Sus scrofa: one gene and its partners. The protein of the gene in region 5 interacts with the protein of the main gene of each other region in a pairwise test. Links are inferred from orthologs where the notes say so. Each region holds a gene or a part of one and is shown on either strand. Other genes may lie near its edges.

The links.
Region 1: the proteins of CCDC155 (region 5) and GPR25 interact in binary tests that used the Homo sapiens proteins (3 or more experiments, as listed by UniProt). The two-hybrid records come from large-scale screens. The link is inferred for Sus scrofa from reciprocal best matches to the Homo sapiens genes KASH5 and GPR25.
Region 2: the proteins of CCDC155 (region 5) and GPATCH4 interact in binary tests that used the Homo sapiens proteins (3 or more experiments, as listed by UniProt). The two-hybrid records come from large-scale screens. The link is inferred for Sus scrofa from reciprocal best matches to the Homo sapiens genes KASH5 and GPATCH4.
Region 3: the proteins of CCDC155 (region 5) and TMEM11 interact in binary tests that used the Homo sapiens proteins (3 or more experiments, as listed by UniProt). The two-hybrid records come from large-scale screens. The link is inferred for Sus scrofa from reciprocal best matches to the Homo sapiens genes KASH5 and TMEM11.
Region 4: the proteins of CCDC155 (region 5) and BAG5 interact in binary tests that used the Homo sapiens proteins (3 or more experiments, as listed by UniProt). The two-hybrid records come from large-scale screens. The link is inferred for Sus scrofa from reciprocal best matches to the Homo sapiens genes KASH5 and BAG5.
Region 6: the proteins of CCDC155 (region 5) and CDC73 interact in binary tests that used the Homo sapiens proteins (3 or more experiments, as listed by UniProt). The two-hybrid records come from large-scale screens. The link is inferred for Sus scrofa from reciprocal best matches to the Homo sapiens genes KASH5 and CDC73.
Region 7: the proteins of CCDC155 (region 5) and C12H17orf62 interact in binary tests that used the Homo sapiens proteins (3 or more experiments, as listed by UniProt). The two-hybrid records come from large-scale screens. The link is inferred for Sus scrofa from reciprocal best matches to the Homo sapiens genes KASH5 and CYBC1.

Annotation. Positions count from the first base shown.
Region 1 is NC_010452.4:23,367,774-23,371,120, forward strand, and holds GPR25 (probable G-protein coupled receptor 25), read left to right. Parts: upstream 1-1,428; 5' UTR 1,429-1,547; coding exon 1,548-2,645; 3' UTR 2,646-2,847; downstream 2,848-3,347. UniProt on the Homo sapiens protein: Orphan receptor.
Region 2 is NC_010446.5:93,485,060-93,489,164, forward strand, and holds the start of GPATCH4 (G patch domain-containing protein 4), read left to right. Parts: upstream 1-1,305; 5' UTR 1,306-1,380; intron 1,381-3,296; 5' UTR 3,297-3,356; coding exon 3,357-3,435; intron 3,436-3,846; coding exon 3,847-3,920; intron 3,921-4,034; coding exon 4,035-4,105.
Region 3 is NC_010454.4:61,350,302-61,352,861, reverse strand, and holds the end of TMEM11 (transmembrane protein 11, mitochondrial), read left to right. Parts: intron 1-1,279; coding exon 1,280-1,796; 3' UTR 1,797-2,060; downstream 2,061-2,560. UniProt on the Homo sapiens protein: Plays a role in mitochondrial morphogenesis.
Region 4 is NW_018084979.1:2,107,337-2,111,265, forward strand, and holds the start of BAG5 (BAG family molecular chaperone regulator 5), read right to left. Parts: upstream 2,801-3,929; 5' UTR 2,483-2,800; intron 2,465-2,482; exon of another isoform or gene 1,991-2,464; intron 1,010-1,990; 5' UTR 982-1,009; coding exon 1-981. Other genes in the region: APOPT1 (apoptogenic protein 1, mitochondrial), read left to right, coding at 2,869-2,991. UniProt on the Homo sapiens protein: Co-chaperone for HSP/HSP70 proteins. It functions as a nucleotide-exchange factor promoting the release of ADP from HSP70, thereby activating HSP70-mediated protein refolding.
Region 5 is NC_010448.4:54,497,489-54,500,988, forward strand, and holds part of CCDC155 (protein KASH5), read left to right. Parts: intron 1-1,072; coding exon 1,073-1,118; intron 1,119-2,887; coding exon 2,888-2,952; intron 2,953-3,028; coding exon 3,029-3,157; intron 3,158-3,254; coding exon 3,255-3,399; 3' UTR 3,400-3,500. UniProt on the Homo sapiens protein: As a component of the LINC (LInker of Nucleoskeleton and Cytoskeleton) complex, involved in the connection between the nuclear lamina and the cytoskeleton.
Region 6 is NC_010452.4:647,119-650,618, forward strand, and holds part of CDC73 (parafibromin), read right to left. Parts: intron 2,411-3,500; coding exon 2,194-2,410; intron 1-2,193.
Region 7 is NC_010454.4:656,027-660,237, forward strand, and holds the start of C12H17orf62 (uncharacterized protein C17orf62 homolog), read left to right. Parts: upstream 1-1,411; 5' UTR 1,412-1,516; exon of another isoform or gene 1,517-1,636; intron 1,637-1,880; 5' UTR 1,881-2,082; exon of another isoform or gene 2,083-2,223; intron 2,224-2,487; 5' UTR 2,488-2,527; coding exon of another isoform or gene 2,528-2,612; 5' UTR 2,613-3,270; coding exon of another isoform or gene 3,271-3,397; 5' UTR 3,398-3,520; coding exon of another isoform or gene 3,521-3,567; 5' UTR 3,568-3,654; coding exon of another isoform or gene 3,655-3,656; coding exon 3,657-3,956; intron 3,957-4,211. UniProt on the Homo sapiens protein: Functions as a chaperone necessary for a stable expression of the CYBA and CYBB subunits of the cytochrome b-245 heterodimer. Controls the phagocyte respiratory burst and is essential for innate immunity.

The DNA of each region.
Region 1 (3,347 bases), on a different chromosome or scaffold from region 5:
GCACAGACCTGCTCAGAGCAGATGGGGGGGTGGGTATGCCCTCCTCAAAATGTCCAGTGGCTCCTACAGGTGACATCTGAGTCCTCCACTGCCTTTCCCGCATCCCCTCCCACCACCTCCTCCCACCTGGACCCTGCTGCTCTAATTCCCCCTTCAGTCCCTTCTCTGGAGCCGAGCTCAGGAGCCACCTCGGGAGAGGTTCTGACTCCCTCTTCCCATCCAGAAGCAGCTACTCCCTCCTCCCAGCTCCCTAAGGACCATTAACACGACAGCACGGCTGACCTTGAACAGGCATCCTGCACCTGGATCTAGCTCCTCTGCTGAATCAGTGACACTGCCCCCACAAGGTCAAAAAACGGGCATCTGTCGCTCTCGAGATACCCCAAACAGTGCCTGCCACATGGTGAGGCTATTAAGGACTGAATCAAACAAAACAGATAATTAATCCGCTTCAAAGTTGTAACGCCAGGTTGCCCAAGGGGTCATTCATTCCTGGTGATGACACACACTGTCACATCAGTTCCGGAACAGCAGTCATGGGAGGACGACCACTTAAGAAGAGTGGGCACCCCGCCTCCAAACTCTCCTTGGGCCCACCGGCTCCTTCAAGGCCAGTCTGCACCCCCACCCCCCTCCTGAACCCTCCCCTGCCTCTCAGCCCATAGGGCAGCTCACTCTTCTTTGAGAGGCCTGACTTCCGACTCCAGATGTCGGAGAGGGACCTCAGGTGCTGAGTCAGGCATCTTCTGTCCTCTTTCATACTGAGCTCACATCTGCCTGTGGCTCCACAGGAAGGTTTTGGCGGATGGAGGGAGTCAGGGAACCGCTGGGATTTGAATTCCAGCTTTCTTCCAGACAGGCTGTCGCTCTCTCTTCAGCTTAAAACCCTTTCCCTTTGGCTCCACGAGAACCTGCCCTGGTCAGAAAAGCCGAGCTCTGGACTGAGACATTTAATCCGGCATCTCTGCAGGCCAACACCCCTTAGAGCCTGACTGGAGGTAGGCCCCGGGGGGTTTAGGCTCCCCCCACCCGATCTACTGTGCCCAGCTGGCACAGCTCCGGGTCCTGTCTCCTCACAGAGATGGGGAGCAGCATGAACAGGGGTGAGAGATAGTGGGAATGGGGATGGATTGGGGCGTTCCCAGCCTCCTGCACCAGCGTCAGACCCCTGAGGCATCAGCGACTGATGGAGGGAGGGACAGGCCAACCTCCCAGACCTGAGGACTTTTTCCCCAAGGCCCCCCACCCACCCTACCCCGAGCTGGGAAGCCCGCCCTGCCCGGGAGGCCAGCCCCAAATCTTCAGCCACGTCTCCGCCACAGGGGCCTGCCCTTCCCCCCTTCTCCCCTTCCCCCCTTCTCCCCCCCTTCTCCCCCTCCTCCCCCTCTCCCCACCTCCTCCTCCCCCACCCCTTCCTGCCCACCCAGTCGCTCCGGTCGAGGTGGCAGGAAGGGAGGTGCTGGGCACCGGCCGTGAAGAGCCATCCCGCGCTTGGCACCGCGTTTGCCCGCTCGCTCGGCACCGCGTCTGCCCAGGCCTCGCTGGCCATGCGCCCCACGGAGCCCTGGAGCTCCAGCCCGGCGCCGGCGTTCTGGGACTACTCCGGGTCGGGCGCCCCCGAGGAGCTGGAGGTGTGCGCGGCCCCGGACCTGCCCTACAGCTACGCCTACATCCCCGCGCTCTACCTGGCGGCCTTCTGCGTGGGCCTGCTGGGCAACGCCTTCGTGGTGCGGCTGCTGGTGGAGCGGCGCGGCCCGCGGCGGCTCGTGGACACCTTCGTGCTGCACCTGGCGGCCGCTGACCTGTGCTTCGTGTTGACGCTGCCGCTGTGGGCCGCGGCGGCGGCGCGGGGAGGCCGCTGGCCCTTCGGCGAGGGCCTGTGCAAGCTCAGCAGCTTCGCGCTGGCCGGCACGCGCTGCGCGGGCGCCCTGCTGCTGGCCGGCCTCAGCGTGGACCGCTACCTGGCCGTGGGCCGCCCGTTGGCCGCGCGCGCCTGGCGCACCCGGCGCTGCGCACTGGCCGCGTGCGGCGGCGTGTGGGCCGCGGCACTGGCGGCCGGCCTGCCCTCGCTGGCCTTCCGCGGGCTGCGGCCGCTGCCCGGGGGCGGAGGCAGCCAGTGCGGCGAGGAGCCGTCCGATGCTTTCCAGGGCCTGAGCCTGCTGCTGCTGCTGCTGACCCTGGCGCTGCCCTTGGCCGTCACCGTCGTCTGCTACTGCCGAGTGTTGCACCGCCTGCGCGGGCCGCCGCACATGGGCCGCGCCCGGAGCCGCTCTCTGCGCATCATCTTCGCCGTCGAGGGCGCCTTCGTGGGCTCCTGGCTGCCCTTCTGCGCCCTGCGCGCCGTCTTCCACCTGGCGCGCCTGGGCGCGCTGCCGCTGCCCTGCCCCCTGCTGCTGGCGCTGCGCTGGGGCCTCACCGTCGCCACCTGCCTGGCCTTCGTCAACAGCTGCGCCAACCCGCTCATCTACCTGCTTCTGGACCGCTCGTTCCGCGCGCAGCTGCGGCGGCGCGGGGCCTGCGGGCGCGGCGACTCCATGGCGCGCGGGAGCAGCTCGGCGTCCTCGCTCTCTGGCGACGACAGCTCCCCGTTCCGGAGCCAGGGCCGCTGGGGGCCCCGAGCCCTGACTTCCGCGGCGGTCGCGTAGCTGTGGGCAGCAGCGGAGCCCCGAGGAGCCGGAGGCGCAGCCACACGGGCCGGCCCCTACCCCCCACCCCGACCTGCCTCCCGGACCTGCCTCCCCAGGCTGCTCCGCCGGCACTGCCAGCTCTCCCAGAACCTCAGCTTTTCCAGCCTCCCCAAGCCAGGCGGCTGAGACCAGCTCTTCTCTCCTTCTGCCCAGTGGCGCCTGGTCTAATTGTCCGCAACCCAATAAGAGGCTTGTGCGATGGAGCCCACGGCAGCGGGGGCACCCGCGGGTCCCCCAAATCCGGGAGAAGAGAGTGGACCTGCCTTCTCTGCACCATCAGCGGTAGCACAGCCAGACCCGCAGAAGCACTCTTGCTTGTCTCAGGCTCTCCCTTCCAACCCCTACAATCGCCTCTGCCTTCTGAGAAATATCTTCTCCCAGTCAGACCCTCTGGCCCCTCACTGAAAATCCTATGTGGGACCTCCTACCTGCAGCCCTCCTTGGTGGCTGAGATCTTGGCATCATTACTCACCATCAGTTCAGATCTTCATTTGCAAAGCTCATCAAAGCGCGGGAACCAGCCTTGCTGGGGGCTCCCCAGGCCATTCCTCCTGGTGATTTCCCAGCTCCAGGCCCTGGGTTTATATCCCCACCCCTTCACCCCCACCTCCGCAAGCAGCACCACTCACCCCAGAAGCTCTCCTGCCCCATCCCTCTGGA
Region 2 (4,105 bases), on a different chromosome or scaffold from region 5:
AGGGATCCAACCCATGTCCTCATGGATACTAGTCGGGTTAGTTTGTTCTGCATCACAACAGAGAAACTCCCACAAGTAGCATATTTTGAAAGTAAAATTAGGAGTTCCCGTTGTGGAACAGCGGAAATGAATCTGACTAGGAACCATGAGGTTGTGCTTAGATCCCTGGCCTTGCTCAGTGGGTTAAGGATCTGGCGTTGCCTTGAGCTGTGGTGTAGGCTGCAGATACTGCTCGAATCCTGTGTTGCTGTGGCTGGGGCATGGGCTGGCAGCTACAGCTCTGATTAGACCTCTAGCCTTGGAACCTCCATATGCCCTGGGTGCAGCCCTAAAAAAACAAAAAAAAAACCAAAAAAAAAAAAAGGACCAAAGAAAAAAAAAAGTAAAATTAGTTTTTATGGAAAAAAATCTTATGGGGATGAGGGAGTATGAAAGACTGAGCAATTATTACAAGGTTTTACTAGGAAATAGCCTTTGAAGTTCTGGGGGGGGTGGAGGTGGGGCAGGAGCACTAAGTTACTGTGAATTAATGAAAACGAGGGATTCTTCTTTTCAGATTTTATTCTTGGGTGGCTTAGTTAAGCCTTGGAACAGTCTGTGGTAATGAGAGCGTGTGCAGCCTCTCTTGTTGATTTCCTGGCAGTAGGTTCTTTCCCTCCTCTGATCAAGGGATCCTCATACTTGACAAGGCAAGTCCAAACACCTCAGCCTGGTATGGATTCCAGGATCCTGCCTCTCTTTTCAGTCCCACTCGTGGTCCCAACTTTGCTTGGGCTATACTAGGTGCTCCCCGAAGTTAGGGCTCGAGTCTTATGCATCTTTGAATCACTGGTACCAAAGGGGCAGGTCCTGGCATACGGTGGTGAGTCAAAACGTGATAAACCTACTGAAACTTCTCTTCTCTAGGATTTTATAAATAACTGTTTTCCCACAGGCTGAGTATTCATCCCCCCAAACCACCTCAGAGGTACTACCTCCTCTGCCTCTACGAACCTCTCAGGCCACTCTCGGTGCTTCCCCCTAAAGTTTTCCTTCCTCCTATTTGTGTCTGGGACGAGACGGTGTCAGACGGAAGGATCAGGATCCCAAGTGAGCCGGTTAGGGGTGAAGTCCCGTGGCCGCTCAGGGCCTACAGGGAAGAAGCAGGACACCTCCCAAATCTCTAGAACTGGGCGCGCTCTGGGGCTGAGTTTCTATGACAACCATACAAGTACGTGGGCCACGCAAAAGTACTTTCCGGAGGACCACGGCGACTTTGCTTCCCGCGAGCATCTCTATGGTTTCCACCGCCTAGAAGGACTGAAACGCACTTCCGGGAAGATGGCGGCGCGCAAGATGTCGCTGGCATGTGTTTTTGCGGAGAGGACCTTGCAAATGACGGTAAGGAGCTGTAGTCCCCCAGACGGTGGCTGTCGGAGCCCGGGCTCAGAAGCAAATGTGAGAGCAGGAAAGTAGTTTCACCAAAGCGAAACTGCGGTAGGAGGGCTAGAATTTAGATCTCAAGAGGAAGGAGGTCTAGGGAAACGGTAGCTGGCTGTTTGGATCTGCTCTAAAAATTGTGGACCTGGGCCCCTTCTCCAGAAAACTCAGGTTAACTGGAGAGAAAACAGTTCCTGAACGTGCAGTCGCTGCCTTCACAAAGACTGCGGCGCAGAGCCTGGGATCTAGTTGCTTTTGTCCACAGTTATCCATTCTGTTAAGGCAGTTTCCACCTGTGTCCTTCAGTTCAGCGAATAACGACGGAACGCATTCTCTGTTCTCGGAGCTGCATTAGAAGCACCGGGGTTGGGGAGTAAAACCAGGGCATATAGTTTCGAATTACTGTGAAGAGGGACAAGCTGTGGTAAAGTCCTACAGTGTAAAGCACTAATGGCTGTCAGACTGAGGACCCTAGTGATTAAGAATGTCAGTTCTGGGATGCCTGAGATCTTAAATCTGCTACTTACCAGCTGTTTCATTTGGACAAGTAATGAAACGTCTCAATGCCTTTTCCTCATTTGGAAATGAAGGTAAAAATGCCTCCTCATAGGGTTGTTGAAATGAGGTAATGTGTGTGAAGCTGGCATTGAATGAATGCTGAAATGTTAGTTGTTGTTGAATCTGCGGCCTGATGGAAATAACTTCTGAGAAGAGGCAGAGCCTCGAGGTGGCCTTAAAGACCTCAGTGTTTGAACTTGAATTCTCTTGCAGTATCAAGAAGCAAGATAGGGCCATTTCTTCACTCAGTGTTTTTCTGTTGGGACTCTCAAGATCTCATTTAGGTTTTCAGGTAACCATCCTTCACAGTAGAAATATGAACAGACATGTGAGTCATCCTAAATTTGCTCCTCTTCCTATCTAACCAGACTGGTCATCATTCTTAGGCCTAATACGGAATATTTGGGAGGAGTGACTTAACGATGTGTCTGATTTCCCCCCACCCCCCCAAACTAGGATACTTCCTAGACCTTCTTAAACACAAATGAAAGTTTTGGCCTTTGGAGTTGTCATTTGGGGAGGCTAGAGGATTACTCCAGTAGTGCCATTAATTGGCTTTAAAAATGGTCTGCAATGCTTGTAATAAATGATCTTAACACAACTTCATTTAAGTGACTCAGGTCAGCAGTGATAGTCTTTAGTTTTTGTTTCTTGTTTCTGTTTTCCTTTTTCAGCCACAGCTGTGGCATATGGAAGTTCCCTGGGCCAGGAACAGAATCTGAGCTGCAACTGCAACCTATGTCACAGCTGTGGCAAGCCAGATCCTTAATCCACTGTGTCAGGCCAGAGTCTTCTGCCAAGAGTGCGGACCTAAAAAGACAAAAAAAAAAAAAAGCCCTAGCACAGCCTGGCATGTAGTGAGATCTCCATAAATTTAGGTGTTATTATTAATACTAATCCTCCTTGATTTTCAACATGATGATATTAACCTCTCTGTGGTCAGACAGGGAGCACTCAAGGACCAGGCCTCCTTCCTCTGTTTCTGCTTCCAGGAAGAATTTTTTTTTTTCAGGGCTGCACCCACGGCATGTGGAGGTTCCCAGGTTAGCGGTCTAATCGGAGCTACAATTGCCGGCCTACACCACAGCCACAGCAACGCAGCATCCGAGCTGTGTCTGCACCCATACACCACAGCTCATGGCAATGCCAGATCCTTAACCCACTGAGCGAGGCCAGGGATCAAACCTGCAACCTCATGGTCCCTAGTCGGATTTGTTTCTGCTGCATGGCAATGGAAACTCTGCAAGAAAGAATTCTTATAAGAGCAGTCAGGATGGATTTTTTGCAGGATTTGAGCACTTTTTCCTTTCCTCTTAAAGGGATGACTGTGAACTCCTCTTCTCTGGTGAGGGGCTGAGGACAGTGACTCTTTTCTCACCATGAGTGTCACCCCAGAGGTCAAGAGTCGTGGGATGAAGTTTGCTGAGGAGCAGCTGCTAAAGCATGGATGGACTCAAGGTGATCCCCACAGGCCCCTTCCACGTACCCCCAAGCCTCTGCCTGGGGAAGAGGGATCCTTCTGGGTTAACCCTATGTAGTCCTTTCAACTGCAGGAGGAAAAGTTAGTTTAAAGGGAAATTTGTGAAGAAAGTTGCTGGCTTTTCCAGAAAAGGAAAGAATGGGAGAAAGAAGTGGGAGGACTGGGAGGGGGAGGAAGAAACATGACCTCTGTCCTGAAAGAATTATGAAGGAAGGATAGTTCAGGCTGGAAGACAGGAGGGCTGCATGGAGAGGTGCTGGAAAGAATGAAACTGGGAGGGCTTCTGAGAGCGCGGGGGCTTTCCTAGTGCCAGGTGTGTGGATGGCAAGGATCCGCCATGTGCTGGGGTGAGGGCTTGGGGTGTTCAAATCATTCACTGTCTTCCGTAGGCAAAGGCCTGGGCCGGAAGGAGAACGGTATCACCCAGGCCCTCAGGGTGACACTGAAGCAGGACACTCATGGGGTAAGCCTGGGCTGGCTGGGGGAGGTCAGTGCAGATGGGAGAGGGGGGTCTTGAGGCCAGGGGAGGGACGGGAATAACACGTCCTGGGTTCATTCATACTTCGTCCTCCGGCAGGTGGGACACGACCCTGCCAAGGAGTTCACAAACCACTGGTGGAATGAGCTCTTCAACAAGACAGCAGCCAG
Region 3 (2,560 bases), on a different chromosome or scaffold from region 5:
AAGCCCTGCCTCCTGGCCTTGCTTATTTGCTTGCAGGGGAGCTTCTACTGCTGAACCCCACCTGGGAGCCACGACAGGAAGGCGCACTCAGTGGCGGCTCTCCTGCCACCAGTCCTTTTCCCCTGGCGTTTGCCTGGCAGCCCCGTCTCTGCCCCCTGCACACGGAACTGCCCTCTTCAGTAAAGGAGATGCTGAACGGAGAGGGTCTGGGCGGGCCTGTTGCAGTCGTGGGGCCCTCGGGGCTGCTGTCCTGCAGTCTGGGCCCTCGGCGCTGTGCTTCTTGCTGCTGGGGGGCACCCTTCAGAGCCCCAGGTTGAGGGGCGTGGACCCGGGGGCACAGTGACCACCAGGAGCCAGGTCGGGGGACTAGGGGCTACTGAAGGGAAGGCAGGTGACAAGGTGGCTTCGCAGGGCCTGGTGACGTGATGCAGAGGGAGCCACCCGTCCAGCTGGGAGAGGCCGGGGTAAAGAAGCCTTCTTGCGAGATGAGCAGTGAAGACCAAACTGGGGGAACCGGCTGTGCTGGGGGGCAGCGTGGAGGGTCTGGATGGGCGGGGACGAGCCAGAGGGTGACAGGCGCTGGGTCCTGCGTCCGGCGTGGGAGGTCCCGCTTGAGGCCTCCCGCGGGCTTGGGCTCTGTCTGCTGGTGAGCGTCACGTCCCCGGCAGGCCGGGTCGCTGCATGGGCTGCTTCCGTGGGTGAGACGCCTTCAGTGGCCATAGGTAGAGTCCTGGGCCCACAGGGTCAGAGCGGCAGGAACACGAGGCCCCTGGACCCTCATCCCAGCGCCCAAGGCCGAGGCACTGAGTGGGGCGCTCCCGGCCAGGTGGCCCTTGGGGGGGCTTTGGCGTTGCCGCCCCAGGAGGACCCGGGCAGCTTGCTCTCCGTCCACCACGGCCGGACCCGTGAAGGTGGGCCGTGCGGGCTCAGTGGCCCTGGTGGGCTGAGGGCACGGCGCACCTGCCGTCACAGGCCTCTGTCCCCGCGTCGTGGGCCCGAGGCCCCCTCTCCCTGGGGCTTTGCTGACTCACGGGTCTGACCCTGCGTTGCCTTAACTGCCAGGCCGCCCCCGTCGTCGGCCGCCATCCTCACAGATGTTGTCGCAGGAGCCCCAGGGCCCCTTGCTGTGTCTCTCGTGGGCCACGGCTTGCTTCTTCGGCCCCATCTGCAGGGCGGGAAGGGGGCGGCCCGGGGAGCCGTGCGCGCCCTCCGGAGCTCGGCGGGGCCCCCCCAGCTGGCGCCCCGCTCACGGCTCCTTTCTCCCGCCCCCCCCCCGCAGGCTGAGCTTGGCGGCCACGGACTGTTACATCGTGCACGAGATCTACAGCGGGGAGAACGCGCAGGACCAGTTTGAGTGCGAGCTGGAGCAGGCCCTGGAGGCCCAGTACAAGTACATCGTGATCGAGCCCACGCGCATCGGCGACGAGACGGCCCGCTGGATCACCGTGGGCAACTGCCTGCACAAGACCACCGTGCTGGCGGGCACCGCCTGCCTCTTCACGCCGCTGGCGCTGCCCCTGGATTACTCGCACTACGTCTCCCTGCCCGCGGGCGTGCTGAGCCTGGCCTGCTGCACCCTCTACGGCATCTCCTGGCAGTTCGACCCCTGCTGCAAGTACCAGGTGGAGTACGACGCCTACAAACTGTCGCGCCTGCCCCTGCACACGCTCACCTCCTCCACGCCGGTGGTGCTGGTCCGCAAGGACGACCTGCACAGGAAGAGACTGCACAACACGATAGCGCTGGCGGCCCTGGTGTACTGTGTCAAGAAGGTGTACGAGCTCTGCGCCGTGTGAGCCGGGAGGCGGCCGGCCTCACGCTTGTCCGCTGAACGGAAGGACACATCACCGGGGCCCCGGGGCGCTCGGCTCAGCCCACGAAGACGTGGGTCCCGCGACCCCGGGGTCGGCGGTGCGGGTTTCCGACGGGGCGGCAGGATGTGGTGGGAGCAGCGCTGCGGGGGGGCGACCGCGCTCGGGGGTCCTTGAGAACATCCGGTAACTGTACCACCCAGAGCCAGCCGGAGCTGTTGACCATTAAAGTGATGAGAATTTCCCCTCCGCCCGGTGTCTCTCTCCGTGACGGCCCTGGTGGGCGTGGGCAGCACGGGTGTCAGCCCTGGCGACGGGCAGGCCCAGACCCTCCGTGCTGCTCAGGGACCTGGCGGGACAGGTGGGCGGCACGGCCGGGCGGCCGCCTGCAGAGCTGGGGCTGGGTCGTGTCCAGGGATCTGACGCGGGAGGAGCCGGGAACCACCTCCACACCTTGAAAGCACTGAGGCCGTCCCGATGGGGGCCCGGGCCCAGGGGAGCCCCACGCTCCCCGCTTACCTTCCCCCGAAGAGGCGGGGCCCTGGCCCTGCAGCCTCTCGAGACCTCTGCCAGGCGCCTCGAAGGGCAACCAGACTGACTTTCTGCTCGTTTTAAAGGCGCCTCAGGAAGGTCCCATCCCAGAGAGTAACGGAGGGGGGCCGGGGGCCACTTTCTGGGGGAAGAGCCAGGGCTTGTGAGAGTTGGAGAGACCTTGACCCGATTGCGAGGGGCCTGGAAGTGCTGATCCC
Region 4 (3,929 bases), on a different chromosome or scaffold from region 5:
GCAGGGGTTCTTCTCAAGACTGACCTCGTCCAGCTGACCGATCAAGCCCTGCAGTTCCGTTTTGGAGCTCAGGTACAGCTCGGCGGGATTCTGGGCTCGGAGGAGCTCGTTTTTTATTTCTCTCACTCGCGTGAGGACCTTCTCTATCTTTAGAATGGAGTGGTTCTGGCCCAGGTCGAAGGCGTAAGTGGTATCTGCCTCCTCCTCCAAGTCCAAGTACTTCAGCAGCTTGTTGATATCCTCCACCACCTCCTTCCGATAGTTCCTGATTTCCGTGTGCCCGCACACATCCAAAGCGTCCAGATCCGCCATCAGCCCCGAGAGCACACACGACAGGTGCCTGCAGGTCTCGTCACTGCTCACGCCCATCAGGAGGGCGATCAGCGTGCCTCGGGCCCGGTTCACGTCACACATCACGGAGTTGATCTTGGCCACCGAGGGGTGCGCGTCGGCGGAGAGCGGCAGCGAGGGCGGCTTTCTCCCGCAGTCCTCGATGATCTCCTGCACGGCGCAGACCTTGGTTAGGGTGTGATACCGCGCCTTCCGCAAGGAGGTCCGGCCGCCCGTCTTGACGCGCGTCAGCCGCAGGATGACGTCCTGGATGCCCTCTTCAAACTCCTCCGTCACACAGCTGCCGCCGCTGTGAAAGGGCACGATCTTCTCTTTCACCAGGGACTGTGCTTCTTGGAAAATGTGCTGGATCTCGAGCCGGTGGGGGTGGTTTGCATTCTGCTCCAGCTCTTTGAGAAGACGCTCCGTCTCCTGGGCCGCCCTCTTCCGCGCTTGCTGAATATCTCCCTTGCCTTCCGTATCTACAGAGTCTATTTCAAAGAGTTGTTTCGTTAGAATCCTCTCCAGTTTCTTGTACGTCTTGTCGTCTGACAGGCCACTGAAAGCAGTTACTTGCTGTTCTATGCTTTTTACCTCCTTTTGGATCTCCTGGAGCCGACTTATAGAAGGATGCTGGTTTCCCATCGCCATACTTTGGTTGTGTTCAGTTTCACAAGCACTAAAAGATGGCAAAAACGATAACTCATTACACTACAAAGCCTGCAGCATGGTAATCACATATTCAATTCATTCTACAGTTCTCATTCTAAAAAGACAGGCTCGAAAAAAAAGGCTGGCTACTGCAGTCCAAAGGAGAAGAAATCCAAGCACAGAAATCAGAGCGACTCATCAATTCCCTCTCATGAAAACAGCTAAACAGCTGCACCGAGGTTGAGACCAGGGCTACTGCCGAGTGGAAATAGGAGCCGGAGCTCTGGGCCTGTGAACTTCAAGTTTCCTCAGTTGTAAGAGAGAACAAACAACATATGCCATCATAAGTATGGCATGAAGCTGAACATTTTGGAAAAGGTGCAGGTATCTGAGGTCTTAAAACTGGAAGCTGTTTTTTTTGGCGCGGCAGGGCACCTTTGTGGTAGCTCTGCTAACCTTCCAGGTCAGTACGTCTAAGCAGGGCCCTCCTCTCACCCCATTACAAAGAGCTATGACTAATTTCCGGAAAAAGTAAACAAAAGGAACCGAGCCACTGAAACAAACACCAGTGGTTCGCAGACACCGCCCAAGTCCCCGCTTCTACCGTCCTCTCCATCCTTTGAGCCCTTCTAACATCTCCTCTACAGTGGCATAGGGCTCCACGGGAAAGGCGACTGGGACTGTCAAAGCACCACCCTGGGCTCTGGAGGCCTAGTACCTCCCCAGGCCCCATCATGCTCCTGCCCCTTCTCCGAAATACATCGCACAAGCATGTGACAACTCTGAGCAATCCATTCACTAGCCTCACATTAGGAATCCAGAATGGCTCAACGCACTTTTTTCATGCTCCTGGGTTTCTATCGATCAGCTCTTTGGAGGGGGCCGGGTACTCAAGTGAAACCAATCCCTTCTGGGTGTCCGAGCCGAGAACACGCCTCTGGAGGCCCAGGGAGAGCAGGCGGCCTCGATTCTTCCCTTCCCTGCCCGCCCTTCCCTCCCAGCACTTTACCCAGAAGAGGTCTAAGCTGGTTTGGTCTTGGCTTCCCGTGGGTGAAGTGGCGAGATGGAAGATCAGCCCTTTACGGGGTGCGGCTCCGGAGCTGGGCCCCCAGCTGCATCCCTCTCACCCCTCCCGGCTAGATCTGAACGGGGCAGCCGGTGAAGGGGCCGGCAGTGGCAGCGGCAGCTACTGGCCGCAGCGGCCGCTCCGGGCGTCTCGCCCGGACCCCACGACGCACCCGCCCGCCCTGACCTCACAATGGCCCTCGGGGGAGGGGGCGGCCGCGCTCGGCCGGGCCTGGGAGCCGGCGAGGAGGGAGGGGGCTCGGGCCGGGCCGGCTGCGGGGAGCCCGGCTCGGAAACCAGGGCCGGCCCGCGTCGGACCCAGGGCTGGGGCGGCGCCCACTCCGGCCCGGCCACAACGGGGAAGGGCGCCGAGTCGGGGGTCGCCCGCCTGCTGCCCGCGCCGAGGGAAGGCTGCCGCCGCCTGGTTCTCGCTCACCTGCGCCGCCCGCGCCATCGCGCACTCCGCCGCCGACGCCCCGCGCCGCCGCAGCTCCCGCCGTCGCCTGGGCCCGGCAGCTCCGCCCCCGGGCCGAACAGCCCCTCGCCCTGGGAAAAGGTCTTCCGGCTTCCGCGCCCACCCCGACCCTGACCAAGCCCGCCGCTGGCCGTCTGGCGAGTCAGCCTGGAACGGCTGAGCCCCAGGAGCAGGCGGCCACCCGGCCGCGCCCGAGCCGACGGCCGTCCTCGCAGCCGGTCACACGCGGGGAAAGAGCACGATCGGCCGCGCTGTCCCCGTCCTCGGGCTTTGCGACCGTGCCGTAAGGCAGCCCCTAGCGCCGTCGCGACTCCGCCGTGCGCCGCGCGGGCCGACGGACGGCGACCATGGCGCCCTGGCGGCCCGGAAGCAAGACGGTCCTCCTTCCTCTCCGCCGCGCCTTTTCAGGCCGTGGCTGTCAGCTCGCCCCCGAGCGCAGCGCTGAGCGCAGGGATGCAGCGCCCAGCCGCGTAAGTGGGGTTCCCGGAAAAGTTGGGCCGGGAGGAGTGACCGCAAGGGGCGGCAGACCCGGGCCGCACCCCTCAGGGACCCCTGTGGGACCCTCACACCTGCGACGCGCCACTTGCGGTGTCGGCTGAGCCCCCCGGCGTGGGGACCCGGAGCCGGCACGGGCTTTGCGGGACAGGCGAGTGGAGCGCGGGGAAGCCCTGGAGCCCCCCAGTTTCCTGCGTCAATCCCCTTGTGGAGGTGGGACTGAGGGTGCCGCCGCCGTCCCGGGGCTGTTGAAAGAACTTTAAGAATAGCATAGCCGTGCAACAGAACAAAGGGTGGGGGAAAAAATGTATACATGTAAGAGTAATTTGGTCCCCATGCTGTACAGCGGAAAGAAAATAAAAGTAAAAAAATAAATAAATGAATAAAAGAATAGCATAGCCGGCCAGCAAGTTTATACGTACCGGGGAGTTCCCGTCGTGGCGCAGTGGTTAACGAATCCGACGGGGAACCAAGAGGTGGCGGGTTCGATCCCTGGCCTTGCTCAGTGGGTTAAGGATCCGGCGTTGCCATGAGCTGTGGTGTAGGTCGCAGATGCCGCTCGGATCCCGCGTGGCTGTGGCTCTGGCGTAGGCTGGTGGCTACAGCCCCGATTAAACCCCTAGCCTGGGAACCTCCATGTGCTGCGGGTGCGGCCCTAGAAAAGACAAAAAAAAAAAAGTTTATACGTACCGTCTTTCTGTCGAGGATAACTGGCTTTTACATGTAAAGAGCTCTTGACATGCGCAGCACGTGTGTGTGTCGTCTTTATGATTAGTAACGCTTTTCTTCAAGTGATGGCGTACTGTTTTGTAGGACTTCACGTTGAATGTTTTTGTTCATTTGGTTTGGAAACCGTGTGCATATATGTATATCTGTGACTGAAGAGCCATAACGATTAATATCTGTAGCAGTT
Region 5 (3,500 bases):
AGATCTGGCAGGATGGGGGCCCCAGAGCTGTGACCTCTGCTTGCGTCACCAGGGAAAGGGAGGAAGATGGGGCTGAGCTGCGGGGACAGAAGCTGGTGTGGGGGCTGGACATTTGGATTTTGGGGAGAGGGATGCTGGGGCAGCATGAGCTACAGATTGGGAAGCTGGGAGTGAGGGAAGTGGTGAATTTTGTGTCCCCTGGAGGTGACCAGGGATGAGGGCTTGGACCTTGAGAGGGACCGGGGGTCCTGAGTAGAAGTCCCAAAGGATCAGACAGCCGTGTGTCTGACTGGGGCAGAGGCTGGGGGCCCAGGAGCCAAGCTGCCTTCCTGAGCAGTAACTGAGGGGACAGCTGTATCCCAAGGGTGCTGGGTCTGCAGCTGGTGGCCGAGGCTGGAGGGCTGGATCCTTGCTCCCCAGTGAAGGTGCCAGTGGATGATGTGGACAGCAGAGTCTCCAAGGGGCTCTGGGGCTGGGCAGCTTGAGGCCTGAGTCCCCACGGAGGCCTTTCAGGTGCTCAGTCAGCTGTGACCGTAGGAGGCACGGAGGGTGGGGGCTGGCACCTCAGAGAAATGATTTGGGGTGGGTGTAGGGCTCACACAGTTGGATGCTGGGCTCGGGGAAGTCTGAGCTGGAGTTCCAGGCCTCAGAGAAGAGTTTCAGTGAGACTCAGTGAAAATGGCCAACCCACCAGACAGGAAGTTGGGGCAGTGGGTGTGTCTCGGGTCCGAGTCTCCAGTGTTTAAAGTGTGAGATAACAGAAGCCTCAGTTCCCAGTTGGGAGATCAGCTGGGAAAGTAGCAGCTGAAAAAGCCAGTGAGGTGAAGAGGCCCCTGATCCTTTTCAGGAGTCACAGACTCTTTGGAGAATTTGGTGAAAATTCCCCTGAAAAATACAGACACTGACGTACACACACCAGTTTGCTCATGGGGGTCCAGAGTACCCTCCAGGCCCATCCCTGGTGCCCCTCCACCTCCAGGCCCCTGCTTTAAAGATTCCACCACACGGCAGGCAAAAGGGAGCCAGGCAGGGATGACAGATGTTTTCAGTGACTTTCTTGTCACCACCCCAGGTTGCCCAGAAGAGAGGAAGAAGAGGAAGCGGAGAGCCAGGTGACGGTAGGCAGTCCCCAGCACCATCCACTCCAGGCCCTCAGACGAGGCTGCTGTAGTCACAGCTCCTCCCCAGCCCCCACCCACACCCCCATTCCACCCACCAGACAGAAAAATCGTTTAGCCAAGAGATAACAATGCCCTCTTGGTAGCTAATGAGAGCAGACGATGCTGTAGAGGGAGGCTGCAGCCAGTGGGCGGCCAGAATGTTCCCAAGGGACCCCCCCCTCCCCCTCCGCCACCAGCTCACACTCAGGGCTGCAGCCACCATGCCATAGGCCTCACAGGCATGCTACACCCCCAGGTTGCAAAAACGCACATGCACCCTGCACAGGAAGGGCCGGACCCTCCCCACCAGCCCCAGAACTCCCTTGGGGCACCACGCCTGTCACAGCTGCCCTGCCCGACACCACACACACTGGCACCACATACCCAGGCTCCTTTGCTCCTCAAATTTGCAGGCAACAATCCCGATTCTCAGGCAAGGGATGGGAGGGAAGGAAATTTGGTGAGGCCAGAAGCCTGTGGTCCTCAGATAAGGAACGTGAGAGCCCAGGAGTTCCCGTTGTGGCTCAGTGGTTAGTGAGCCTGACTAGCATTCATAAGGACACAAGTTCGATCCCTGGCCTTGCTCAGTGGGTTAAGGATCCGGCGTTGCCTTGAGCTGTGGTGTAGGTCGCAGATACAGCTTGGATCCCGTGTTGCTGTGGCTGTGGTGTAGGCCGGCGGCTACAACGCTGATTGGATCCCTAGCCTGGGAACCTCCATATGCTGAGGGTGTGGCCCTAAAAAGACAAAAAAAGAGAAAGAAAGAAAGAAAAACATGAGAGCCCAAAGGTGTGCCAGCCTCCATTCCAGGCACCCGGGACCCTTCAAGGTATGCCCAGGAGAGCACCCAGATAATCGGGAGACTAGGGTCCAAACCATCCGAGATGGTCTCTCTGGGCAGCCTGACCCCAAAGCCCACCTCTTTCCCACCACAGCATGCTCCCGTCCCTGGAGGCTGGGGCCCCACCTCACTTTCCTCATGGCTGGTGTGATTTTGATCTGTAGTCAGCTGTCAGAGTCGCAACACATCACAAGGGCCAGCCTGGCCAGAGCAGAGGCAGGGTAGGCAACAACAGCGAGGAGAGGGGCTCGGACTGGTGTTGCTGGAACTCTACCCTTCTAAATCTATTGCTATTGCCATAATCATTGTCCACAGAGCAAAGCCCCTGGAGGAATATTTGGGGCTTTAACCTTAAATCACCTGCTGGACCTGGCACAGGGCAGTGCAATGGGCTTGTGGAGGGCCCATGCTGGACCAGGCCCAGCCCAGGCCTGGGCTCCTGGAGAAGATAGGGGCTCTGCCCTCAGGGGCTTGGATACTTCCAGAATCAGATAGAAAATGGAAATAATAATACTGAGGAGCTCACGCAGTTATCGAGGGCTCACTGTTTGTCAGGCACTGTTCTGAGCCCACCTCCTCATACTTTGGTTTTTCCTGCATTTACTCATTCATTCCCCACTTCAGGCCTGTGTGGTGAGTGCCTTCTCATCCCTGTCTGGCAGATGGGAAAATGGGGCCTGGAGAGGTGGGGTGACACGCCAAGGGATGCACAGCAGGCAGCTGGCAGAGCGGGGAGCCCAGCGCTGTAGTAAGCTCAGAGAAGCTTAGGCGCTGAATCTCTGTGTTCCACCCCTTCTGTGTGGTCACTTCTGTCTCCTGGGCTGAACTGAGCACCTCTCCCAGTCCAGGACCCAGTGCCTCAGCTTTGTCTCCTTTTTCCTCCAAGGTGGATCTACCCATCCCTCTGGGAGACTCAGACCCTGCAGACATCCCAGGAACCCCTCCTGAGAGGTAGTGGAACCCAAGGGCCCGGGAGGGGACCTGGGGGCACCAGTGCCACTGCCCTGCCTTCCTTTCTCGCCAACAGCCCCTCAGAGCCAGAGCCGCAGCTAGCCCTGGTGCCGGTGGTGAGGGAGCTGGTCCCAGTCAGGAGGCCCATCTGGAGCCAGCTCTGCCTGTGCCCCTTGCACTCCCAGCATCTCAGGTGTACCCCAAGGTATCTGCAGAAGGAGGGTGGTGGTCAGGCATCAGGGCATTGCTGGGACACCGTGGGCTCCCCTGGACACCCCCCCAAGCACTGTCCTGCCCCCCAGCAGGGTCACTCGGCACCCACTTATCCCAGCACCAGTCCTGGGCCTGCTGCTGCTGCTGCTGCTCTCGGTCCTGCTGCTGGGCCAGTCTCCGCCCCCCACCTGGCCCCACCTCCAGCTCTGCTACCTCCAGCCTCCTCCAGTGTGAGCCGTGCTCCCCACCGCCTCAGAGCAAAGTCTGGTTCAATGAATTTCCCAGAGCTCTTGTTACTGTTATTCCCATGGTTGTGCCACTGTGACTTGGGATTA
Region 6 (3,500 bases), on a different chromosome or scaffold from region 5:
AAAATCAAATTTCATTACTTCGAAAGTAATGAAGTACTGCATGAGAGAAACAAACTCTAGAAGAATCCATCAAAATGTTACTAGCTATATTTGTGTAGTACAATTACAGGTGATTATTATCTTCTTATAATCTTTTTATATATTTTTCAATAACGAACAAATACTAGTTTATGTAAGTTTAAAAGTATATTTTTAATGGCATTATTAAAAAAAAAAAGGCTGCCTTAGGTGGGGTGCTTGCAAGAGTAATAACTAGAAAAGTATGTATTTGTATTTTCTCATGGAAATTTTGAACCTGTCTTTTGGTCCCAAAACTCAGAAAATAAGAAAGCCCTGATACCTGATAATAATGAAGATCTATCTAAAATCATAGAGCCTCTTAGGGCTGTTAAGTACCTAAAAAGTTTCTTAGAGTTTGGCAGGTGAAAACAGCATACAGAGAAACTAAAAGTCAAAATTGTTGTTTTTGATTTTAAAATGTTAATATTCACAGAAGCAAACCTAGCTACCAAACAATTCTTCCAAGTATTAACTTACTTGTAAAATTACACACTGGTGCCAACGACATTAAATTAAATTAGACACTAAGTTTCGAATGGTGGTACAATCCTGCCACCTAGAGCTCAAAGAAAATTGTTCATTTCAAAAATTACAATGAACATTGACAGAACAATGTAAGTACGAATATTCAACTATTAGCCACACTAGGCAGTAAAAATGAATACCAGTAGATCGCCTTATTTTAAATACAGAGAAGAAGGTCCACCCACATTCTCAGATTTCTCCATGATTTTAAGCTCAGGAGAATGATTCTTGATCTTGACCTCGAGTACTGTGTGAAACAACTCTAAGTACAAGAGAAAACGAATTCTTTCCTTCATATACTCTCCTCTAGTGGTCGTATTCCTACTAAAACAGCACAGTAACTAAGGCTGGAATCCAAACAATTCTGCAGACAAAACCAGCCTGCCTAGACCAATGCTAAAGTTCGCTTCCATCAGTCACCTCACAACTTCTATAAACCTTCTCACCAAATCGCCACCGCGAACAACTGTGCATCGGTGAAGAATTAACATTTAAGGGGAAACTGGGATGTGGGCGGGGAAAACAGCTGAAAATAGGTAAGTGAAAAGGAACTGATGCAAACTGTTTGGGGAGCTACTAAGATACGGAACATTCAGTATCTTTCAACTTTTTATCGTTCAAAATTTACATATCTCCTTTAAACAACAGTTCACTTCCAGGAAGTAATGCTTCTGCTATATGCAGACATAAAGGCATGAAGGTGTGTATGTACAAGGACTTTTTTCAATGCAGCTGTTCGCAATCATGGAAAGGAAGGGAAGGAAGGAAACAGCGAGAAGGAAAGCGGGGAGGAAGGGAAGGAAGAAAACCCACAATACTGCAGCAAAAACCAACTCCATTAATCAGGAATAAACAAATGCTGTTACCTCCATACAACAGAATATATCAAATAGGAGTTCCCGTCGTAGCGCAGTGGTTAACGAATCCGACTAGGAACCATGAGGTTGCGGGTTCGGTCCCTGCCCTTGCTCAGTGGGTTAATGATCCGGCGTTGCCGGGAGCTGTGGTGTAGGTTGCAGACGCGGCTCGGATCCCGCGTTGCTGTGGCTCTGGCGTAGGCCGGTGGCTACAGCTCCGATTCAACCCCTAGCCTGGGAACCTCCATATGCCGCAGGAGTGGCCCAGGAAATAGCAACAACAACAACAACAACAAAAGACAAAAAAAGACAAAAAAAAAAAAAAAAAAAAAAAAGAATATATCAAATACACTCAAAGCATGTTTGCTGACTGATTTTCCTAAGTTCTCTCCTTTGTGAGGAAAACATTAACAATGGAATTAATGCCTAGAGAGCTTGCTACCAATATTCCCTGCTCATTAGATTTAAACAAAAACCTCATGGGCGAGAACACTGGGCCTCTGTTTGGATTTGCCAATGAGGTGGACATCAAGGACCTGCTTCTGATTCGGACTTCTTCATCACCTTTTCTGGTGACCACCGACCAACCACACCCTAGACTGGAACGGTAAACACGGCCACCGAGAAATCTACAGCATGACTCATGTTGCACAGGAGACTTCAGCCAACTTCGTAAGCAATCACAGCTTGCACACACACACACGCGCGCGCGCACACCAACTCTCGAGACGCAGTGAGCTACTCTGACTACCTTCCCCGTGCTCTGTAAGATGGTCGTTCGAGTCCTCCACACTCGCTCTCTGCTGACAATATCTCGGGTCACGTCCACTTCAGCATCCACGAAGCTCCTCTGCTTGAGGGCTGTTATATCATCATCTAAGTCCGTCTTGATTGTAGATCTTTTCTTAGCCATAATTTTGGCTTTGATTGCGGCAATTTTTTCCACTGACATAGCTTCAGACAAAGACCTGAAAGCAATTTCTTTTTTAGTATGTGTATAGCAAGGATCGCTTGAGTACATCATAAAATATTTTGCTGCATTTACAAGCTCCTGATAATAACACTTTAAGTGGCCATAATTAAGATTTCCTTCTTATCTATAAAACTGACAGACTTGATGACTTATAACCATGTAAAGGAGAGTCCATGTAGAATTACTGCACCATACGCAGATTAGTAATTTCTTAGGAGGAACAATACAAAAAATTTTGCGTTTTTTCATTTTGCCCCCTCAAAAGCATTCACTAATACGGCCTTTTAGATTAATCACCATCAACCAATCAGAGAATTCTGCACAAGTTGATCACATACCCTGGGACACCCCTCCCTCACCTTGCATTTCAAACTGCTTTGCTGAAACCCTTTGAAGAGTCTGGGTTTTGGGGGCATGAGTTAGCCATTCTCCTTGGTTGGCCCTACAAAAAACCTTTCTTGGGACCCCACCCTGCCCCTGCAAAAAAAAAAAAAAAAAAGTCTTTTATATGAGACCCGTATTTGCTAATCCTCCCAGCCACACAAATTACACAAACACACACGCATGTGTAAGCATGTGCACACCACCACCTTGGAAGGGGGCAAAAATACTTCATTCTACAAAAAACAAAGTTCACACTTTCCTTGAAGTTTATTTCAAGGTTTCAAATCTGTGTCATAGTGTAACAACACATCAATTTTATAGGTGACAGAAGCTTTTATATGCCACGTAGAAAAAACTTTTATTCCCTTTAAGGTATGGAAGGTAAAACAGTATTCTGAAATTTTCCTTTTCTTTTCCTTTATTTCACTTTCAAATAACATGTAAAATGGCAAACAGAAGCTATGATTTCATAACTATAAAAAAAAGACTTAATGAAAATAGATTTCATTAAAATGATAATCTTAGGCTTAGCCGAATTTTTGACAATGTAATACAAAAAAAGGGTTCAGATATCTCAACGGCAGTTGATGAAATTATTACTCTCATCACAAGATGACAATCCTCAAATACATGGAAACAACATGTGGGAAAAGGTCGGGAGTTCGGGCAGGTTCAAACACAGCAGTGTCATATATACGCTA
Region 7 (4,211 bases), on a different chromosome or scaffold from region 5:
CGTAGGAAAGCTGTCTCCAATTTTTCGGTGTTTTTTGGCCATGGTGTGCAGTGGCTTGCTGTGGGATCTCAATTCCCAGACCAGGGACTGAACCTAGGCTGCAGTGGTGAAAGCACCAGATCCTAACGACAGACCATCAGGCCCTTACCTCCAAATTTCTGACCCTTGCCTATGCTGGTAAAGCTTACATGCTTGGGCACACCCTCGTGTATTTCCTTTTAAGGTCATGTGCATGGTATGTCAATCTTACATAAATTATAAAACACATAACAGATGTAAAAAGAAAAAATAAGTAGGGATACAGGCTCTAGAATGTTCTTCCAGCACTCCACAGGTCATCTTGACTGCTCCACTCTGGAGGCCACTGAAGTGGGCAGCAGCTGTCTGGTGGAGGCCCTCCTGTAACAGGTGAGGTCTTTCCCTGCCTGGTGGGAAATAAAAAGGCAAGTTAGGGTCCTGCTGGGGACCTTCGTGCTGAGTGTCTGGGTGGAGAGTGGAGCAAGACGGCCACTTAATCAGCCACTCCAGGGTTTCTCTGGAGAAAACTGTCCTACGACAATCCTCCCTCCCAGACTCTGGGGCACGTCTCTGAGTAGCAGAAAAACTGCCATCACAACATGGGAATGTTGAGTTTTCCCAGCTACATTGAGTTTTTCGGGGTCACGGGTCTCTGGTTTCCCCCTATCCTCCTCCACAGTGTCTTGCAGAATTGTTATTATCATTATTATTTTTTTGTCCTTTTAGGGCTGCAACTGCGACATATGGAGGTTCACAGGCTAGGGATCAAATCGGAGCTCGGCCTACACCACAGCCACAGCAACAGATCCAGATCCCAGACATCTGCGACCTACACCACAGCTCATGGGCAACGCGGGATCCTTAACCCACCGCGCGAGGCCAGGGATCGAACCTGCCTCCTCATGGGTATGAGTCAGATTCACTTCTGCTGAGCCAGGACGGGACTCCCAGAATTGCTTAGATTTAGTTTTTTAGCCTGGTGATATTCTTACTGGGTTTGCATGGAAACTGCAGATGAACAGGGGCAAGTTTACAATTTTACAATAACCCCGTGATCTATCTTAGTTCTGCTCCAACGTTTCTCACTGAAGTTCTCACAGAATCTACCATGACGTTCGTACACACCCGCTGTTAGGTGAAATAATACTTTATACGTTTTTCTCGTCATCCTAAACACCTCTTTCACCTCCCGCTGCGGACCTTTTAAAGCCTATCACCCCAGACGCCCTCAGGTCGGGGCCTGGGCCCTTGTACCACGCGGCCGCCGCCGGCCGGGATCCGCCCTCCGCAACGACCTCGCTCGGGACCCGCCACCGGACCGGCACCTGCGCGGCTGAAAGGGGGCCCCCGCCGCCCGCTCCCGCGGGCCCGGAAGTCGGTTGTCCCATCCGCCCCCGCGCGCCCGGAAGTGGGCCGGGCCCGCCCCCAGCCCCGGAAGTCCGTACCTGGCGGGTCCGCAGGCCCCGAGATCCCGCCTGCCGCGCGCCGTCGCCCGCAGGTCAGTGTCTGTGGTGGGCGCCGGGGCCGTGGCCGCGGTATGAGCGGGTGCGGGGCGAGCTGGGGGGCGGCTCCCGCAGCCCGAGGGCCTCCGGCGGTGCTGTCTCGGGACCGGGCCCTGGTAGGTGGCCCGGGGTGCTGGCGGCGGGCGGGGGCTTGCGGGGGGGGGGGGGCGCGGTGGCCGCAAGGGTCAGGCGGGGCATGTCCAGGGCGGCTCGTGCCGGGGACCCGCGTGATCTCGCCCCGCGGGCAGCGGAAACGCGTGGAGGCTCCTCAGGGGAGGGGGCTAGTGATGGCCAGGAATGGGCTTCGTTTGTGTGCAGTGAATCCGCTGTTTCTTGCCAACGTTTGATTTAATTTTATAGGAAGTAGCTGAAAAGCTACCCAGAACGGGGTCCCTGGAGCCAGCTTTTCGAGCGCACTGCAGCGTCCTCCACGCTGGAAGATAAGCCCCCCGCCCCTTGGTGACTCGTTCATTCAGCCGGAGCTCAGGGACCTCGGGACCTTCTGCCGGGTGCAGCCTGTTGGCTCCGCAGCTGGTGAAGCCTGCAGAGCTGACTTTTTCCGGTCAGTGCCAGTACAGACTCAAACCATGATTAGACTTTCAGTTCCCTTTTTCAAAGGCCAGCAAAGGAAAATGAGGGCGTTCTGACAGGTTCTGGTAGGGTGCCGGAAGCTTGAAGGCTGCTGGAGGCTGAGGGTTTCCAGGTAGGAAGGAGGCAGGGGGTGATCAAGTGGTTGGTGCTTTGCGGGTCAGAGCAGGGGATGCAGCCACAGTGCAGCCATTACAGTTCAGCAGAGAAGGGCCTTCCTTACAGAGAAAATGGGTCTCTGGGGGATGAAGTGACCTGCCTGCCTGCAGAGACTGCAGTCAGCAGGCGGACTGGTTCTGGAGCCTTCCCAGAGAGGAGCTGGGTGCCTGCCTGCGGGCAGCGGCTCCGGGGCTCCAGCTGTCTCTCTGCTCTCCCCTAGCCCGCGTCTCCTGTTGAGAGAGGTGGCAGCACGTTCTGGGATGTACATGCAGGTGGAGACACGCACCAGCTCCTGCCTCCATCTGAAAAGGGCTCCAGGCATCAGGTCCTGGTCCCTGTTGGTTGGTAAGGACGTCCGCTTTTCCCCTCAAGTTAAAAATTTAACTTTCAAAAAGGATGAAGGTGAACGTTAGCTTGTCCCTGCTTCTACTCCTCCAAGACATAACAGCTGTTTAATTCTTCCGACTTTTATGTTCTGTCTGTGCTTTTACAGATGATGTGTGTCTGTCTAGGCTTTTTTTTTTGTTAAACCATTTAATAGCTTCCGGTTAATGCTCCGCATGCTCTTCTGAGGTCCCTGTACTTCCCTTTTGTTTGCTTTCACACACCCATTCCAGGCACAGGGTTTATGCCAGGGCCCCCCCCTCCATCCAGGTCATACCCCTCAGAGGGCCCTGCATCTGCCGGGCAGCTGTAGTGTGCTGCTTGGGGCTGACGTGTGAAGGGCGGTGCCTGTGCCGTCCACAGCCCAGCTCTGGCTTCTTTCCAGGGACCCTGCCAGTTTCATCCCACGTGCCAGACTGGGCCTTTGTCTGCAGTCTGGTCTTAAAGTTCCGCTCCCTGTGCTGTTGGTGGGAGTCCATCCACTCTGGAGGCTCCCGTACACGTCTGGTGAACACGGTGACTGGCGGAGAATGTTCTCCTGAGCAGACCTCCTCTGCCGTGTCTCCACCTCTGAGCCTGGTGGTCGTCTCACCCCCGCGCCCTCAGCCATCCCCGGGCCATGGGCGGGGCCTTCGGGTCCTGGGGGGAGGCGGGTTCCGGGCTGGTGGTGGCCTTTTGGGAAGGTGCCTGCTTCCTTCTTGCAGGAATCGCGTCCATCGGCCTGGCTGCTGCGTATTACAGTGGAGGTGAGATGCGTCATGTGCCCCTGGAACTTCCTCGGCTGACTGACGGGAAGTTAGAGAAAAGGAGGGGCTGCTGCTGCGTGTGACCCGCCAGGGCCCGGCTTGGCACGTCGCCCCTGCCTCTCGATGGTGTGCAAGGCGGCCCCACCTCTCTGCTGGCGTGTCCCCTGCAGGTGGCAGTCCTCCCACTCCAGCATTTTCTTTGGCCGTAAAACAGCCTTCAGAAAGGCAGGCTCACATCCGCCTCGGGTTCTTTGCAGGGATGGTCCCTGTGCGCATGCCCACCTTCCCGCTCTCACACGCTGCGCCGCTACTGTCGGCTCCAGGAGACCCCGGGGGAGAGCGGAGGGTCCGCCATGTGGTGCGGCCATGGTGGCAGGGGCTGTCCTTGCAGGTGTGGGCGGTCAGCCGGGTCCCCAGGTGTCCGGGAGGGGCACCTCGCCCCCCACTGCCATCCCTCACTGGGCTGTCCGGTGTTCACTCCCCAGACAGTCTGGGCTGGAAGCTCTTCTACGTCTCCGGCTGCCTGTTCGTGGCCGTGCAGAACCTGGAGGACTGGCAGGTGAGGCCCATGGGCAGGGCGCCCGGGCACTCGGGCTGCCCTGCGGAGGGAATCAAAGCAGGAAGGCAGGCCCGGGGTCCACGGCCCCTCACCCAGAGGCATCAGCGTACTGGTTTGCAGCCCACTGGACCCGGCCCTGATGTGGCTGGTCTGCAGCATCCCTAAGCCAAGGAGTCCTCTGGGCTGTGCTTCTCCCGGAGGTCCTGGAAGGGCCAGCCCACTGCCCCTTTGTCCCCGTTCATGTGTCCCTGGGCC